Struthio camelus: one gene and its partner. Each later gene encodes a partner of the first gene's protein in a complex. Links are inferred from orthologs where the notes say so. Each region holds a gene or a part of one and is shown on either strand. Other genes may lie near its edges.

Region 1 (7,940 bases):
AGGCCTAAGGCAGGGACTGGTAGGAAAGGGAGCCACAGTTAGCTGGACCCTCACAAAAATAATCTTAGGATGGTAAAAGAAGGAGAGGAAAAAGGAAATGCATAAAAACTGTATAATCCATGAGAGATAACTTTCAGAGCTCTGACTAAGTTTGAATTTATTTCCACCGCCCAGGAGCAGTTAATTAACACTATCATTGTTAATGACAGATGGCTTAGAAAAACTCTGCCTCTGCAGCTGGGATAAGAGTGTGTCAAGTACGGAGTCTCTTTTCTTGCAAAATATATACAAAAAGAAATGAAATCTCTACTCCGTATAATGGGTAAAGCAATATGGAAGAGTATAAAAATTACAGCCTCATAAAGCCAAAGCAAACCTCCACATTGACCACAGGCACCTTTATTCATTAGACTGATTTTTAAAGAGGATTTTATTTCCATTTTTCAAGAGCATTCCCCTGGGTATAACTGATCTTTGTTTCCAGTGTAGTTAGCATCCCGCTATATCAGGTCTGACAGGATATCTCACCATGCTGCAGTTGCTTGACCCTTACCATGCATGCTTAACTCGTAATATATCTTTCAATACCTCCAGTTTCCTTCTTGTGTAAAAGCTGGTTTCATTTAAGCAATGAACAATCTATAGAATTATTTTCTCAGATTTTTTTGCAAGTTTTATATAGAATGTGAAGCAGGAGTCCAAAAAGTTGAATGATTTCAGTCTTCTTTGTAGCTCACTATCACTCTGCTAATCTGCACTACCCAGAACATTTTTATAAGTTGCAACTGGAAAGGACAAAAAGAGAGTGCAAACTAAAATATACAAGAACACACAAGTGTAAATGTAAGTACAAGTAGGGCTGATTTCACTAAGTAGCTTAATGTGAAAAATTTACTAGTGCAGATACATAGCTTTCTTCCTATTTCTTGAGAAATAACATGAAATATAGACCTCTCTCAGCATCTACTTTACTTTTATCAAGCAAACAGCAACAACTGGAGTTTAAATATACTAAACAGAGCAATAACATCCCTTGCTTTACACTGAGCATTTCCACATGTTTTTATCATTTACAGTTTTCTCATCTTGCTAGATGACAAGGCAGCAATATATTAGCGTTCCCAAGACTAGATACATAAACCATCCTGCTCTCTACAGGACTCCTTGCAGGGAAAAGCTGTCTTGCAGCTGGAAGTGGAAGCTTTCTTCTTCCACTCCAGCTTTCCCTTGGACAACCGCAGACTCATCCCTAGAGGGCACCTAACGAACACAGCTCCAGGGCACATAGCACATTTCCTGCAGGCTGCAGGATTTATCACTTTTAACCAGCTTCTCCCTTCTGTTTCTAATTGCACTTCCAGACAAACTACTCCGAGTGAAAACATCTGAGCTCATTCCAGTTACTTTTTACCAGCTCCTCATTTATGCACTCCCAGAAAGCTTTCTTGGGCCACAACTATTTCCCCTCCCCTCCCCCCCAACAAATTTCAGGACTATCATGTGCATTTCTTTCAACTGCGGCTCCAAAGCCGTTTCCCCTTACCTTATGATAACAAACATGACCAGAGAGTTTCCCACCAAGCCAACAACGAAGACTACTGAGTAGACAGCAGTGATGATAATGGGGATGGCGGGGGAGATGCTGGTGTGGTTGTGCTGGGCGTCCCCAAAGGCCCCGGTGGCGTTGCTCTCATAGTCCTCCCAGCCCAGGAGCCAGCTGCTGCTGGTGCTGGGGGAGCGACAGGACCCGGGGGAGCAGGTGGAGCCTGGCTCCTCCCGGAAAATCTGCACGGGGGCATCCATACGGCCACGGCCCCACGGGCAGGAGAGAGGCTGGGACAAGAGTGCAGACAGCAGAAGGCAAGTACACTAGAAAGACAGAAAAGAGGGAATGAAATAGAAGTGATATCACAGCCACTGGACATTAAGACACTAAAAATCTGTATATATTAAGGAGGGTTCTGTTGTGGCAGGAACTGTAGTTTGCCAGGCAGAGATTTGAGCAAACCATATTTGGAGTAAATAAATACAAGTTTCAAATCTTGATATATATTTGGTAACTTCTGCTCCTTCAGATGCACAAGGAAAGTTTTCCTCCACTTTCAGAGATTACACAGAGAAACAATTAGAAGAGATATCGTGCAGATGGGAAACAGCTTCAATCCACCCCCGCGCTTTAACCCTCTCTCTCCCATCCTCCATATTTTTAGTCAAACAGTATCCTAATGACTGGGGCTCCTTACTGCATTAGCTCTCCTAAATAGGAGAAGAGAGAGGAAAACCCACCACCTTTCTCCATATCTGCTTTGACATCCTTCCCTGAGTTATTTTCTTTCAGATCCCACACCTGCTTTCAGAAAAGACACACATTAATGACATAAAATACCTCTTTCAGTCCAGCAAAGGAGCAAAGTCCCCAGACAGATGTTCTTTGCAGCAGAAAAAGCACCTGCTTAGCTCCTGGCAGTGCCAGGGATCTTCTAGGACTTTTGAACCGGCGGCATCTGCACCTCTGGAGACGGAGGAATGTGCTGGCAATGGAGCTGATTCCCAGGCACAAGCTGCGATGTGGTAGCAGCAGTTGCTGCTGTTCCAGCTCCCACCACTACCCCTTTTCACTCTCACACTCTCTCTCTCTGCCTCTCTCTTACTCTGCTAGGGCTCCAGCAGCACTCTGCACTAATGCACACATTTCTACTCTGTCTCCATGCTTGCAGCTCAGAAGCTCACATGACTTCTGTCTAAACACTGAGAGGCAGACAAATTAAAAGAAAAGCAAGAAATAAGTTCTACAATAAATGAATGCATAATTTGTATACACTTTCCAAATTGCCTTTCCTCATTCCCCTTGCATCCTAGGCCTCAAGCAATGTTCCCTCCTACCTTTCTGAATCCCTCATGATTTGTGGACTAGTAGATGCTGAATAAAACAGGAATTTTCCGTTTAGATTCCTTGGCTGGTCCATCAGCTCTTTTGTGACTCAGCTTCATAATTGCATACTCAGACCACTTCTAGTTGGGTAGCTGTGCTGTGCTCCTTCACACTTACAACCTGGAAGGATGTCAGAAGGTGGCTACTAAAGGAGAGAGAGAGAGCCAGGAACAGCTGAAGGAACCCCAGTTGCTGCCCGTAGTTAATTCAAACTGTCTTGTACTGTTTTGGAAGCCAAGAATCCCATTTTGCACCACACAAGAAACTCCACCATCAGAGATCTGCTGTCTCTGTACACCAACTGTGGCTGGGGATGGAGGGTCAGCGTGTGCAGAAATCAAACCCTTCAGAGCTATATAGCTCACATAGCTCACGGGCTAATAGCCCATCACGCAGGGGCTGGCATCCCAATCTGTGTACAGAACCTCTTCGTTCACATGCGGGCCTTGAAATTCCCAGTAGAACTCCCTCTAAATGCCAAATTGGAGAGGTGAGAAAGGACCTAAGTAGTTTCCACTCCCCTAGAAGAGGTGGGATATAGCCAGACTGGCTGCATGTCAAAACACACTGCAGAAATCAGGTCTCTGCAGGCCAGAGCAGACTGCCAGGCATTTCTGTGTATTTTAGTGAAGTTCAGAAGGCCAGAGAAGATGTTGTGGGTATCCTTCATCCTTATTTTATGTAGAAACTTTACTTCATGTTCCTTTTGTAGAGCCTCTGTGATCAGGCTGAAGTTTCTATTTTTAAAACATTTTTTTCTTTCGAAGCCTATAATCAAGATGAGAAAAAGGAAACTGCAATGTCTATTGCAGAGCTGAAAGTCATGAAGAAAACTTAAAATATCCAGATCCTTTCTTTTTGAGGCAGACGCTCAAGATTAAAGGTGGTGGTGGCTCTGAGTCTGGCCACTGCTTTGTCCAGAACAGACTTGTATGTTACAGCATCTGCTTACTACCGTCTGTACAGAGCTGTTTAAAAGTTTAACCTTTGCTGAGGTTGTCAACAAGTGCAAGACAGCAAACATACAACAAAAGCATTCCTAAGCCAAATACATTTTAAGGATTGAACATAGACCTAAGAAAATAAAAGTTTCTTGGAAAACAAAACAAGACCCTAACACAAAATGGACAGATCCCTGTCCTGTTTTTTTTTTCCCTTGCAATCCATTGGCCTCTGCAAAAGTACTGAAAGGAATTATTACTGCTACTTCATCTCATACGTGGAACAATTTGGCAATTGCTATCTTCTTTATAACATTTTCCCTGGACTTCTTCATATTCTGGAATTAAAATATACCGGAGAGCCATAAGATAGCAATATTTTTAGCCTTCATTGATAATCCATTTCTTATGAGCAATTATTTTGTTTCGGGAAGTACCTTAAGTGCAACCATACACAGCTGCAATATAGCTATTTAATCAATGAAATGGATTTTACGGGTTATTCTGGAGAGGGAGAAAGCAGCAGCAGCAGTCTGCAATTCTCCAGTTGCTACAGGTGGATCAGAAACATCCATATGGGGAAGAAAAGTCTATTACTGCTATGCATAAATCTAAACTGGAGATGGCCTGAAAAACTTAGTATGATTAATTAACAGTAGAGTCAAAGCTTTTTCAAGCACAACAGTAGACTCAAAGCTTTTTGAAGTTGGACAGTATAGTTCTGACCTTTAGCTTTCTCTTGCTAAACTCTGCACTGAAACTCTTCAGTGATCGCATCTAAAACGATGTGTTAACAGCACAATCGCTGCCCCTTAGTGGAGTAAGGGTGTGTTGCAAATAAATGGGCGTGGAATAAGGTGGACTTTGGCCAGGACACTGCAAATTACAGGGCAAGCCAAAGACAATATATGTTTCCTTGTGCTTTCTGTCTCTGTATCCTCCATGTGAGAGGCTCAGCTCCAGCTATCATTTATTTTAGGCCTTTGCAATTCAAGAGGAAGGAGCCCTTGGTCTAGAGAAGTGCCTTTTCCTTTGAAAGTCAAGTGAAATTCATATAAACTGACAAAAATAATCTTTCGCTTATTTATGTTTGCATTCTTGAGGAAAATTGATATAACTGGGTTACCAGTAGTGACTGGGCTCAGCATACGTACTAGAAATGCTTGCAGTAGTATCAAAAGAAAAACCCAGGACAAAGAATCATGCTTACCCATCTTCTTCATTTTCTTCAACAGATAATCATTCAGCGCCGTTATATCCTTTCTGATAGTCCTGGGGTGGAGGACAGGAGTGTCCTGAACTCATGAGGGAAGAGAAAGAAAAGGTCTGCAGTCAACATAGCCCAGTTTGTCCACACACCAGTACTCTCCCAGAAGTTCTTCTCTCCTCTGAGGGATCATGTGAGACAGCAGATCCTGTTCTTTCAAAAGAAGACAAGGAACGATTTTGGGAAAAAAGACAGCATAAGAGCACAGTATCTCAGCCACTCAGCTACAACTTTGCTGCAACACTGATTTTGCAGATCTGGGACTCACATGCCCCCAGATTTTTTCATGGCAATACTGGAGATTCAGAGTTCACCTCACTGGACTTTGCCTGGACGTTTTTTCCCATTAAAAAAATAAAATTCCATATCAGATTCTGTATTTAAGGAACATTCCTTATGTTGTAAATTCTAGCCCTCAAAGGTAAAGAAATACCACATTCAGCGGTCCTATAGCTAAGGCAGAACAATGCAAGTGCATTCACACAACCATACCGTTTTTTTCCCGAGAATCCCTTCCACATTCACAGGTCAGCTACGTAATATTGCTACATTTAGGTAGAAGTGCTATAAAGTGCTTCCTTCTGCATGCCTAGTGAAATTCCCTGATTGAATAGGGAACATGGCGGGAGGGAGATGTAGGATATTTTAAAATATCAGGTGGGAAGGGCTTCGACTTTTTTTTTTTCTCTTCATTACCAATGTCTAAGCTAAAAAGCTGTTCCTCCATCAGCACAGTGCTTCAAAACCTTAGCAATGCCCTGGGACATTACTCCAGCCCTGACTCAGAGCTACGAACGAAACGCACTGAATCACTGGCACGGTGCTGTGCGGCAGCCGCGCGGGGTGCTGCAGCGGGGCCCCCTGTACCCTTCCCGTGCCCGCGCACTGCCGCTGCTGCGCGGAAGCTGCTTGGTCCCCAGTGCTGTTCCCCGAAAGACCACGGCATCTTTCAAGGCTTAAGTCAAATTGCCAGAACAGGGCAAACCTTGAAGTTCAGCCACGAACTGTGACGCTGGGTATTTTGACGGGGGATCGTGCGCAAAGGTCGCTTTTTATTCTAGAGATGGGGAGGGAGGCAAGACGAGTTAAGCGGAGCAGGCTATCAAATCCTTTTTTCAGGTCGTTCCATAGTTATTTTTGCTACCTGGTTGACCACAGGCTACAATTATAGCACCCCGGCGTAAAGGGAGGAGATGCGGTAAGAGCTTTCCTGCGGTCGCAGTTGCCAGGGAAACAAAGTCCTCCTGCCTCTGCGCATCCCGAAACCCTAGCTGCCCGCCTGAGCGCAGCTCTTGGGAAACGTTATGTCTTATCCGCCTCAAAGGCCAGCAAGGGGAAGGAAGGGGAAAAAAAGGAGGGCAGGAAGGTAGATGGAATAATTATTCCCGTGCCGTGTGGCGGCAGCCAGGCCCATGCGGGGCCACCGGCATGGCGCGGCCTGGGCTGCCCGGCTCCCCCGCGGGCCTGCCCCACTGCTGCGGGCTCCTCCGGCAGCCGCTGGGCTGCGGATGGCCTCGGTCACCGTCATCGGGACGGCGGTGGCCACCTCGGCTCCCCGCTGTCCTTCCCCGACCGGGCCCGGCCCTGCAGCACCCTGGCAGCGCGGCCGGGATCGCTAGTGGTAAGGCACAGGGCCGCGTCTCGGGAGCAACGGTAAAACTGTCCAAGCAGGTCAAAGCTCTTCACCTTCTTCCTTACGTTTCGTCTAGTCAAGGCCCCTAGCTGGAGGTTTGCTACGGTTCCTTGCTTTTCCAGAGCGAACGGCAGAAAGGGCTCCCAGAGGGGACACCAGCAAACGGAGAGTGGCCGGACAGCGACCTGGTGGAGAATTTTTAGTGCCTCTCTAAAGGGGAAAATTGTAGTGATCCTCAGAGATCTATAGTCCAGGTCTTACCTAACAAAAAAAAAAAAACTACCTGATCCTAAAGTGTCTCTAATTACTGTTTACTAATGATTATTTATAGCTCCTTCTCTGGTGAAGCACTATCAGTTGATCACCTTTCACAGTAATTTGGCTGCCCAGCGATTAAAGCATGGCTTGGCAACAGCACAGTACTGTCAGCAGCTGATACACCGCTCCGGGGAGGGAACGGGGATCAGCTAATACCACCCCAACTTCCATTCAGCTTCTGCTCTGATACACACCACACTGTCGATGCCACTTTATGGGCATAAGTAAAAGTCACTTTAACATTATTCTGGTTATTTCTTTTGGGAAGATCTTAGCAGATTATGTGGGATGGGCACTAATTTCTCCCCAAAGAGCACAAGCTCCTGGAAAGCCTTCTCCTTACCTTTACTGCAAAGGGAAGAAAGAAGATTCATTTTCTGGAGGTAAGAATCACATGCCAGTTATGTGCTAATTATATCCAATCTTAATCCTCTTTGCTTCAGGCTTAGAATTGTGTGTTTGCTTTTCCTGATGGCCGGCAGAAGCAAGAATCAGCATGAAAACAAGTGACATAGCTCAAGTGAGAGAAAAGAACTCAAATTTTCCACATAAAACCTCACTCCTCCCGCCTCCTTTCCCACCTGTGTGTCCTAGCTTTTGGCATCTTCGTTCATACATGATTAATTTTTTAAACATAAAAGTGCTGTGATAAGAGAAGGGTGAATTAGCTCTCTGAGTAGGAGGTTGTGCCTGCACCAGGTGACCATGCCAGCCACTACTACCTCCAGGGCAGAGTGGGAAAGGCTGAACCTCCCTCTGTCTTTCTCCCTTTCACTTTCCCCTGCTCATCTCTTCCTATTAGTTAACTCAGTTGATGCTCAGAAAATCAGCCAGAGCTGTAGGAGTGAA
Region 2 (7,994 bases), on another chromosome or scaffold:
CTACAATGCAAAGGGGGGGTGCTCGGGGGCTGTGCAATGCAAAGGGGGGGGTGCTCGGGGGCCGTGCAATGCAAAGGGGGGTGTTCCGGACTGTGCAATGCAAAGGGGGGGGTGCTCGGGGGCCGTGCAATGCAAAGGGGGGGTGCTCCGGGCTGTGCAATGCAAAGGGGGGGTGCTCGGGGGCCATGCAATGCAAAGGGGGGTGTTCCGGACTGTGCAATGCAAAGGGGGGGGTGCTCGGGGGCCGTGCAATGCAAAGGGGGAGTGCTCCGGGCTGTGCAATGCAAAGGGGGGTGCTCGGGGCTGTGCGGTGCAAAGAGGGGGGTGCTCAAGGGCCATGCCATGCAAAGGGGGTGCTCTGGAGCCGTGCAATGCAAAGGGGGTGCTCGGAGGCCATGTGGTGCAAAGGGGGGGGTGCTCTGGGACTGTGCCATGCTAAGGGGGGTGTTCTGGGCTGTGCAGTGCAAAGAAGGGGGGGTTCCTCCAGGATTGTGCAATGCAAAGGGGGGTGCTTGGGGGGCATGCCGTGCAAAGGGGGGGGTGTGCTCCAGGGCTGTGCAATGCAAAAGAGGGTTCTCCGGGGCCGTGCTGTGCAAAGGAGGGTGCACCAGGGCAGTGTAGTGCAAAGGGGGGGTGCTCTGGGCCATGCAGTGCAAAGGGGGCATGTACTGGGGCTGTGCAGTGCAAAAGAGGAGTACACTGGGGCCGTGCAGCGTAAAAGGAGGGCACACCGGGGTATTACAGCGCATGGCGGGGGGCAGGTGCCCCAGGGAGGCGGTGCAGTTTTGATCAGTGCACTAAGGAGGGGGGGTGTTGGTGCCCTGGAGAGGGGGGTGCAGTGTAAGGGAGTGGGAAGCTGTGCCGTGGTGGTGCATTGTAGGGGGTGCACTGGGAGCCTGTTCAGTTGCGGGGGGGTGTCAATGCACTGGCAGGGTGACCATGCAGTGCTAAGGGCTGGGATCGGTGCACTGGAGGCGGTGCAAGGAGGTGGTCAGTGCGCAGGGGAGAGGGGAAGCAGTGCAAGGGGATGCTGGATGCACCAGGGGGAGCGTGCAGTGCAGGGGGGGTCTGCGCATTGCAAAGGGGGGTCAGTGGAGCAGAGGGGGCTGTGCGTGCAGCAGGCTGTGCAGTGCACGGGGATCGGTGCAGTGCAAGGGGAGGTGCAGTTGTGGGGGGACATGTAGTGCAAGGAGGGGGTGCAGCAGCTTGTGCAGTGCAAAGGGGCTTCTGCAGCTTAGCCAGGTGCTGCGGGGCCCCAGCCCTGGTGAAGCCCCCTCCCCAGACCCAGCTCCCTGGGGTATTGCTGCAGGCGATTTCCAGCAAAAGCCCCCCTAGAAAGTCACTGAAACGCTGGGGCTGAAGCCTCGCTGCCCTCGGGGGCCAGAGGTTTTAGGGAAGCTAAAAACCGGGTGAGGACGAGCACTGTCCCCAGGGGTCCCCGCGCCCGGCTGGAGCCCTCTTGCCCTGCTCTCTCCCGCCATCCAGGGGCTTCCCGAGCGTGCGGTCGTGCTGGCCGGCCGGTCCCGGCGGTGGGGCCATGCCGTGGCTCCGCTCCGCGTTACTCCCGCTCCGCCTGGCCGTTTCCACCTCCAGGCACCCCCCGGCTCGAGCAGCGTGCGGTGGTGGGTTCATTTACCCCGTGCACGTGCGCATCGCGCACCGCCGGGACCGGGGCTCCACCATGCCACCCAGCCCGCCGGCGCTTGGCTGTGCCGCGCCGGGAGAAACGGCGATGGCGCCCCGTCGCAGCAAGCACCGCGGCGGGGCCGGGACCGGCCGGGGCGCCTCGTCCCGGGGAGCAGCGCGTGGGCGTCGCGGCCCCTCTCCGGCAGCCCCCGCGGCCACGCGCAGCCCCGCGTGCGCGGTGCGAGCAGCAGCGCTAAGCCGGTGCCGCGGCCTTGGCCCGCTTGCCGGCAGCGCGCCGCTCCGGGGGGGCTGCTTGTACAGAAGGACGCACGTCTGTTCCCGCAGGGTCGTTTTCCTGCCACGAAAACCGCCTGTTTTGTTCCAGCTGTTTTTTTCCGAGCCTCTTCTCTGCCCGCTTTGCCTCGCTCGGCGCAGGTGACGTTAGAGGCACTTTGCAGGCGGTCAAGGAGAGCGTCTGCAGAGCGAGTTTACGGAGGAGCTCTGCAAATCGCTCTTTGCTTGACTCACTTGCCAGGCCCGTGTTGAGAGCACGCGCCAGGCAGCAGCCGCGGCCCCTCCGCGCTGCCCAGAGCATCGCGCTGCCGGCGCGGAGACCCTGCGCCGGCCGGGCCCCGCGCGGCCGCCCGGTCCCTGCCGCCAGGCTGGCGCAGGAGGGGAAACGAGGTGCCCTGAGCGGCGGCGCGTGCATGCCAGGAAAAGCCTCTCCTCCGCCTAACATTCGGAAAATAAACTTTCTTATCTCATTCTCTCCCTGCAAGGCGACCTGTATTATCCCCGCGGATTGCCAGGGAGCGCTCGGCTTTGGGTCTCGTCCCAAAGCCGTTTGCACGGAAGACGCTGCCTGGTGCCGCCGGCAGCCGGCCGGGGTGCAGCCGAGAGCCTGGGCTGGGGCGCGCTGGCGGGGAGCGCAGCGGCCGCGCGGCTGGCTGCCTGCCCGCGCGCAGCGAGCGGGGCTGCCGGCGATCCTCTGCAAGTTTTTAAAGCTCGATTTGCTTTTCAGTGGAGCCACTTCACCGCCTGGGCTGGGAGGAGAGGGGGTCCTCGGCCGGGGGCAGCCCCGCGCGTTGCTGCGCGACGCCCGTTGTTTGCTCGGGCGCCGCTTTCTGCAACGGCGTCGAGTGGCCACTTGTGCTCGCTGCCCGTGTCTTTGTGCGCCCCGGTCGCGCCGCCGCGTGCCCACGCGCGTGCCCCTGGGCTGCGCGGCCGCCGGCAGGCAGGAGCCGAGCTCCCCCCGCGGCGCCCAGCCCGCTCCCCGCGGGGGCGATGCTGGGGAGCGGGCATCGCCCCGCGCGCCGGCTCTCCCGGGAGCGCGGTTCGCGCCTGGCCGCCTCCTCCCTGGGGCAGCCCGCGCAGCCTGCGGCCGTTTCAGGGCCACGAGGGTGAGCAAGCGATTTAATACCAGCCCTTTCTGGAAAAACGCCGTACGCCTGAATAGCGGGGAGCTGACCGGGCGCGATGGGAATTGCTCCACGCACCGCAGGCGGGCTGCTTCCCGCGGGCACTGCCTGCCGGGGCACCGGACCGCGCTCGCAGCGGCGCCGGGTCGCGCACCCGCTGCTCGGGGCGGCCAGCGAGCTCGCCCCTCCGAAACATGGGTGCAGGCTGGCTGGGGAGTTCCTTCCCTTCCCCTCTCCCTCCTGCTGGCTCCCACCTTGCCCGCGCTGGACGATGCTCTGCAGACGCCGGCAGGGCCAACGGAGCCGCTCTCCGCTCCGAGGCCAATGCGGGCCTCGAGGGCCGGGCTGCCGGGGGCTGCCGGGGGCTGCCGGGGGCTGCCGGGGGCTGCCGGGGCTCCGGGCACAGCCGGCCCCGCCGTGACAGGCGCTGCGTGACGGTGTCTGCCATTAACTCCCACCTGCTTTTGCGCCCGCCTGGTACTTGCGCTAGTCCCCCTCCTCTCCTCATCAGCTTTTCACTGATGTAGTTAAGAAAACTTAACTTTTCTATTACTGCACATTTCTCTCTCACCCAGGTGCTTAATTACCATTGTCCCAGGGAAATGTCAGCGTGACTCAGAGACAGTTTCCCATTAGGAAGCGGCAGATGAATATTAATTAAACCGGCTGGTGGGTGGGCTCACTTGGAGCTCCTTTCCCGAGGGGACCCTGCCAGCACCCCACGCCTGCCGGGCCTCGGCCGAGGACCCTCTCGCCTGGTTCAGGGAACCTGCGGCACAAATAGAAACGAAGAAGATGCCTCTGCTGCAGGGACAGGAGCAATTCCACCTCCCTGCCTCCCTGCCCAAAGGAAATCGTCTCTTATTAAGGAGCCTTATTACGAACTACCCTTACCTCTGTGCCCGCGGGGTTTTGCTTGGTCTCCCGAAGTGCGTTTCCCCCCGGTGCAATTACCCCGCTGCGGGCGCTGTGCAGGACGGGCGCCGACGGGGAGAACCGGGGAGGCTGCGTTTCGGGGGGAAACGCACTTCGGGGGGGGGTAGCTGATAGAAACGGGGGTTTCCTGGGTATAAAAAGTACCCGCTCGGCGCCTGCAGCCTCTGCTCGGCTCCAGCCGCCCCTTGGCCTGGCGGCGAGGACCGACCCTCGCCGAGGGATGCGCGCAGCCCCGGCGCGTCCCGGCGCGGCCGGTTGCAGCGTCTCCGGCTTCGCTCTGCATCCTCGCAGCGCTGCAAAGAGCGAGCGGGGCGGGTTGGGGGGGTCCCGTGCGGCCCCCGCCCCGGGCCGGGCGCTCCGTCCCCGCTCCGCAGCGCGGCCGGGCGCCCGCAGAGGCGGGGGGGGGGGGAGCCGAGGCCGGACCCCCCCCCCATTCCCCACCCCGGCAGCGCCAGGGCCTCCGGGTCCCGGGCAACCGGCGATGGAGCCGGGTTGCTGGGAAACATCCCTCTTGAGCGCCGATAAAAATAGCCCCGGCTGCAAGGCGAGAGGCCGGGCTGGGCGGCCGGCAGCGGCCGCGGAGCCGCTCGGAGCCCCCGGGCGGCTCGCAGGGGACGGGACGGGACGGGACGGTGCTGCACCCTGCTGCCGGCCCGACGTGGGCTGGGGAGCGGGGCTCCGCGGAGCGGGACGGCGAGGGGCCGGCGCAGCCCGCAGCCGCCGGGCCCAGGTTCCCCCGCCAGGCTGCGGGAGGGGGCTCGGGGCGGTGGGGCAACGGGAGCGGCGCGGCGCCCGGCGGGGGCGAAGGCGCTGCCGTCGGCAGCGGGGCCCGGCCGCCCCGTCGGCCCGGCGCGGGGGCTGCGGCGAGGCGGCCGCGGGGCTGGTTCTCGCCAGCCTCCCGCGCCCCGATTGGCTCCGCGGCGCCGGGCTGCGCTGGGGCCCCGCGGCAGGAGGAGACTCCGCGGCCATAAAAGCGGGACGGGAGCGGCGAGTCCGGTGGGTACCCGGCGGCGTCGGTGGTGGCATCCGCGCTCGGCGCCACCGCCGCCGTCGACGCCTCGAGCGAGAGGGCGGCACGCGGGGCGGCGTGCGCCCGGCTCGGCCGACGGACGGCCAGCATCAGCGGCGGCGGCAGGTAGGGCCGCGGGTGCCCCGGGGCGGCGGGCTCGGGGGGCGCGGGTGGTGGCGTCGCCCCGGGTGCACGCACGCACGCACGCGTGGCACGGCACCGCGCGCCCTGACTCACCGCCTGCAGCTGGGGTATCGCTTCTGCTGTTTGCCGGAGTGACTCAGTTTGTTTAAAAACATCCCCGGGGCGCCGCGCCGGGAGCATCTCGCCGCCGGGGTTTTCTGTGCGCGAGCGAAGCCGGTGCTCCCGCGGCGCCGCAGGTGCTCGTTTCGTCCCTCGAGCTGCTCGGTAGCCGGCGAGCCTCCGTAAATAGCTCCGCGGCGGCTCGTCGGGGTGCCGTTGCTGCGTCTTTCTGCCCTTTCGGGGGGAGAACGCGTTAGCTGGAACGAGCCGGAGTCCGGAGCGAAACGAGAAGGGAGCAGCAGATAAGTGACGGGGAGGATGCTCCTGCCTTCCCGCACCGGCATCGTCGGGGTTTGCTGCGGTTTTGTTCAAAAAGTCATTGTCTGTTTCTGAGCAAACGTTGCCCTGAACGCGTTTGCAGGTTGCTCTTAAGGAGAAGAGAACGGCTGGAAGGCGACGTTCTTCCCTGGCAGAAATGCCTGTAGGGTCCCCAAACTGTCTCAGGGAGACCTCGGTGGGAGGGGACCGCCCGGGGGCGCGATGCGCGCTGGCTGTCGGCGCCAGCGCCGCTCCGGAGGGAGCGATCCCGGAGCCCTCGCGGGCAGCCCCGGCCGGTGCTGGTGGTGAGGACGGGTCTCCGTCCCCGTCGCTCCCCGCGGGGACGCGGAGCCCTGCCGGGCCGGGCCGCGCCGGCGCCGACGGAGCCTCGCCGCTGTCGTCTCTAGGAGCTGCTAAAGCCGTGCCGAAGCCTCTGCGGCCGGAGGGACCGCCGCGGGACGCGCGCCCGAGCGACGCTCGGCCTCCGGCTCCGTGCAGGTAACGTCGTGTCGCTCTCCAGCTCCCTTCGCCTTCCTCCTTCCTTTCTCCAGTTCTTTCCCCGCCCCCCTCTTTGTCTTAGACCTATTATTTTTTCTCCCCTTTTTCTTGTCCCATTTTTTCTTGCCCGTCTCCCCCCTCCCTCGTGGAGCAGGAGGGCGGCAGAGCTCGGCCGGACCAGGTACGTCCCTGGCGCAGCCCTCGGCCCCTCCGCGCCGGCAGAGCCGCGGCTCGCCGGGCTGACGGCATCCGAGAAGCCGGGGCGCCATCGGCAAATGCCGTCCGGCGGGCACGGATGCTCCCGGCCGCTCCGGCTGCCCCCTCCTCGTCCTGTTAATCTCGGTTTCCCGCGGCGTTGCAGCGGGCGCCTCCGCGGCCGGCCAGCCCTCGCTGGGGCATCGCTGCCCCGCGGCGGACGGCAGGGAGCTCGGGGCCGGGACGCCCACGCCTGGCCGTCCCCGCGGCGGCTGCCGGGCTGCGCTGCCCAGGAATACCACCTGCATGTCGCACACGGCGGTGCGGATAATTCCGATTACATTTTAATTCAGCATGAATTAGTACGGTGGCATTAACATTTCTTCATCAGCGCCAATTACAGTGCATTAGCAGATACAGCCGGAGAATACAACAGTCTCTAATATGCGTCACTGCCGTGCAATAGCTTCCTCCGGGTCGGGCCTTTGCACCCGAGGTGGCAACGGCGGCGGCGGCCGGCTCCCGCGGGGCCTGGCGGGAGCGCTCAGCTCCGGGGCCGCCGCGGCCGGCACCGGCCGCAGCCCCGTCCAGCCTGGCTGGGGGTGTTTTGGGAGCGCCGGCGGTGGAGGATGCTGCCGCGGTGGAGGATGCTCCGGGCCGCCGGGAGCGGGGCAGAGCGGCCGGCGGCGGGCGGGCGCCTGGCGCTGGGTCGCCCCGGTGCAGCCCCGGGTGTCCCGGGCCTCGGCTGGCGAGCGGCTCCGGAGCACCATGTTTTTCTTCTCCGAGGCCGAGGGGGAGCTGCTGATGCATCCTCGCCATGCCGCCCCGGACGCGGCGATGGCAGCAGCGCTCAGAAACGTGGTGCTAAAAAACCCAAAACAAATGGCACGCGAGAGGCGTTAGCGGAGAGGGGGCGGGGGGGCTCGCCAGCCTGCCGGGGCCCAGGTGTCCCGGTGTCCCCAGGAGCCCGGCTCGGGGCTGGGGCCGTGCAGCCCCAGCGGGGTTCGCCGGGCGGCGGTGGCAGCCACGGGCCGCACGTGCTGTCTCGCCCCCCAGGCAGCGCTGTGGGCGGCATGGAGCGGCAGGCGCTGGCGCTGGCTCTCTGCCTGGCGCTGGCGGCGGCGGCGGCGGCTACGGACTGTGCGACCCGGTGCTCTGCCTGCACCCCGGACTCGGCAGAGAGCATCTGGCCCCTGGTGAGTGCCGGCGCCAAGCAGCCGCTGGGCTGCAAAACAGCAGCGGGCGCCCGGCGGGCACGGTCGGGGCTGGGAGCGGGGGGCGTCCCCGGGGCAGCACCGACCCGACGGCGCCGGGCGCCCCGGCCGCTGTCTTGCAGATGTGTTTGCTGGAGTGCGCGGGCTCCTGGCCGCCCGGCGCCGCCTGGGAGGCGTGCAGCAGGGCGCTGGCGCTCCCGGCCCCGGCGGAGGCGGCGGGTGAGGACGAGGCGCTGCCGGAGCTCGGCCCCGGGGACCTGGCCAAGCACGGCGGCGGCGGGTTCCCGAAGCAGCTGGAGCCGGGCGAGCTCCTCTCCCTGCTGCGCCGGAGGGCCCCCGGCCCCGGCAGCACCACGTACGGTGACGGCGGCGGCGAGCGGGTGCAGGACTACCCCACGCCGGAGCCCGGGCCGGCGGGTGCCGGCGGCGAGGAGCCCCCGGGCAAACGCTATGGGGGCTTCCTGCGCACCTACCCCAAGCGGCGCTTGGAGGCGGCGGCCGCGGGCGCCGGGCAGGAGCTGGCCGAGCTGCACAAGC

The links. Proteins that work in one complex are often made in the same cells at the same time.
Region 2: the proteins of OPRK1 (region 1) and PDYN are in contact, whole or in part, in a cryo-EM structure (PDB 8F7W), measured with the Homo sapiens proteins. The link is inferred for Struthio camelus from reciprocal best matches to the Homo sapiens genes OPRK1 and PDYN. Residues at the interface, in NP_000903.2 of Homo sapiens: Thr111, Gln115, Trp124, Val134, Ile135, Asp138, Tyr139, Met142, Lys200, Glu209, Cys210, Asp216, Tyr219, Lys227, Val230, Phe293, Ile294, Glu297, His304, Ala308, Leu309, Tyr312, Tyr313, Ile316, Tyr320; in NP_001177821.1 of Homo sapiens: Tyr207, Gly208, Gly209, Phe210, Leu211, Arg212, Arg213, Ile214.

The regions. Positions count from the first base shown.
Region 1 is NC_090943.1:137,947,085-137,955,024, reverse strand, and holds the start of OPRK1 (kappa-type opioid receptor), read right to left. Parts: upstream 3,002-7,940; 5' UTR 2,387-3,001; intron 1,870-2,386; 5' UTR 1,804-1,869; coding exon 1,544-1,803; intron 1-1,543. UniProt on the Homo sapiens protein: G-protein coupled opioid receptor that functions as a receptor for endogenous alpha-neoendorphins and dynorphins, but has low affinity for beta-endorphins.
Region 2 is NC_090959.1:18,143,524-18,151,517, forward strand, and holds the start of PDYN (proenkephalin-B), read left to right. Parts: upstream 1-4,987; 5' UTR 4,988-5,115; intron 5,116-5,957; 5' UTR 5,958-6,048; intron 6,049-7,299; 5' UTR 7,300-7,316; coding exon 7,317-7,439; intron 7,440-7,579; coding exon 7,580-7,994.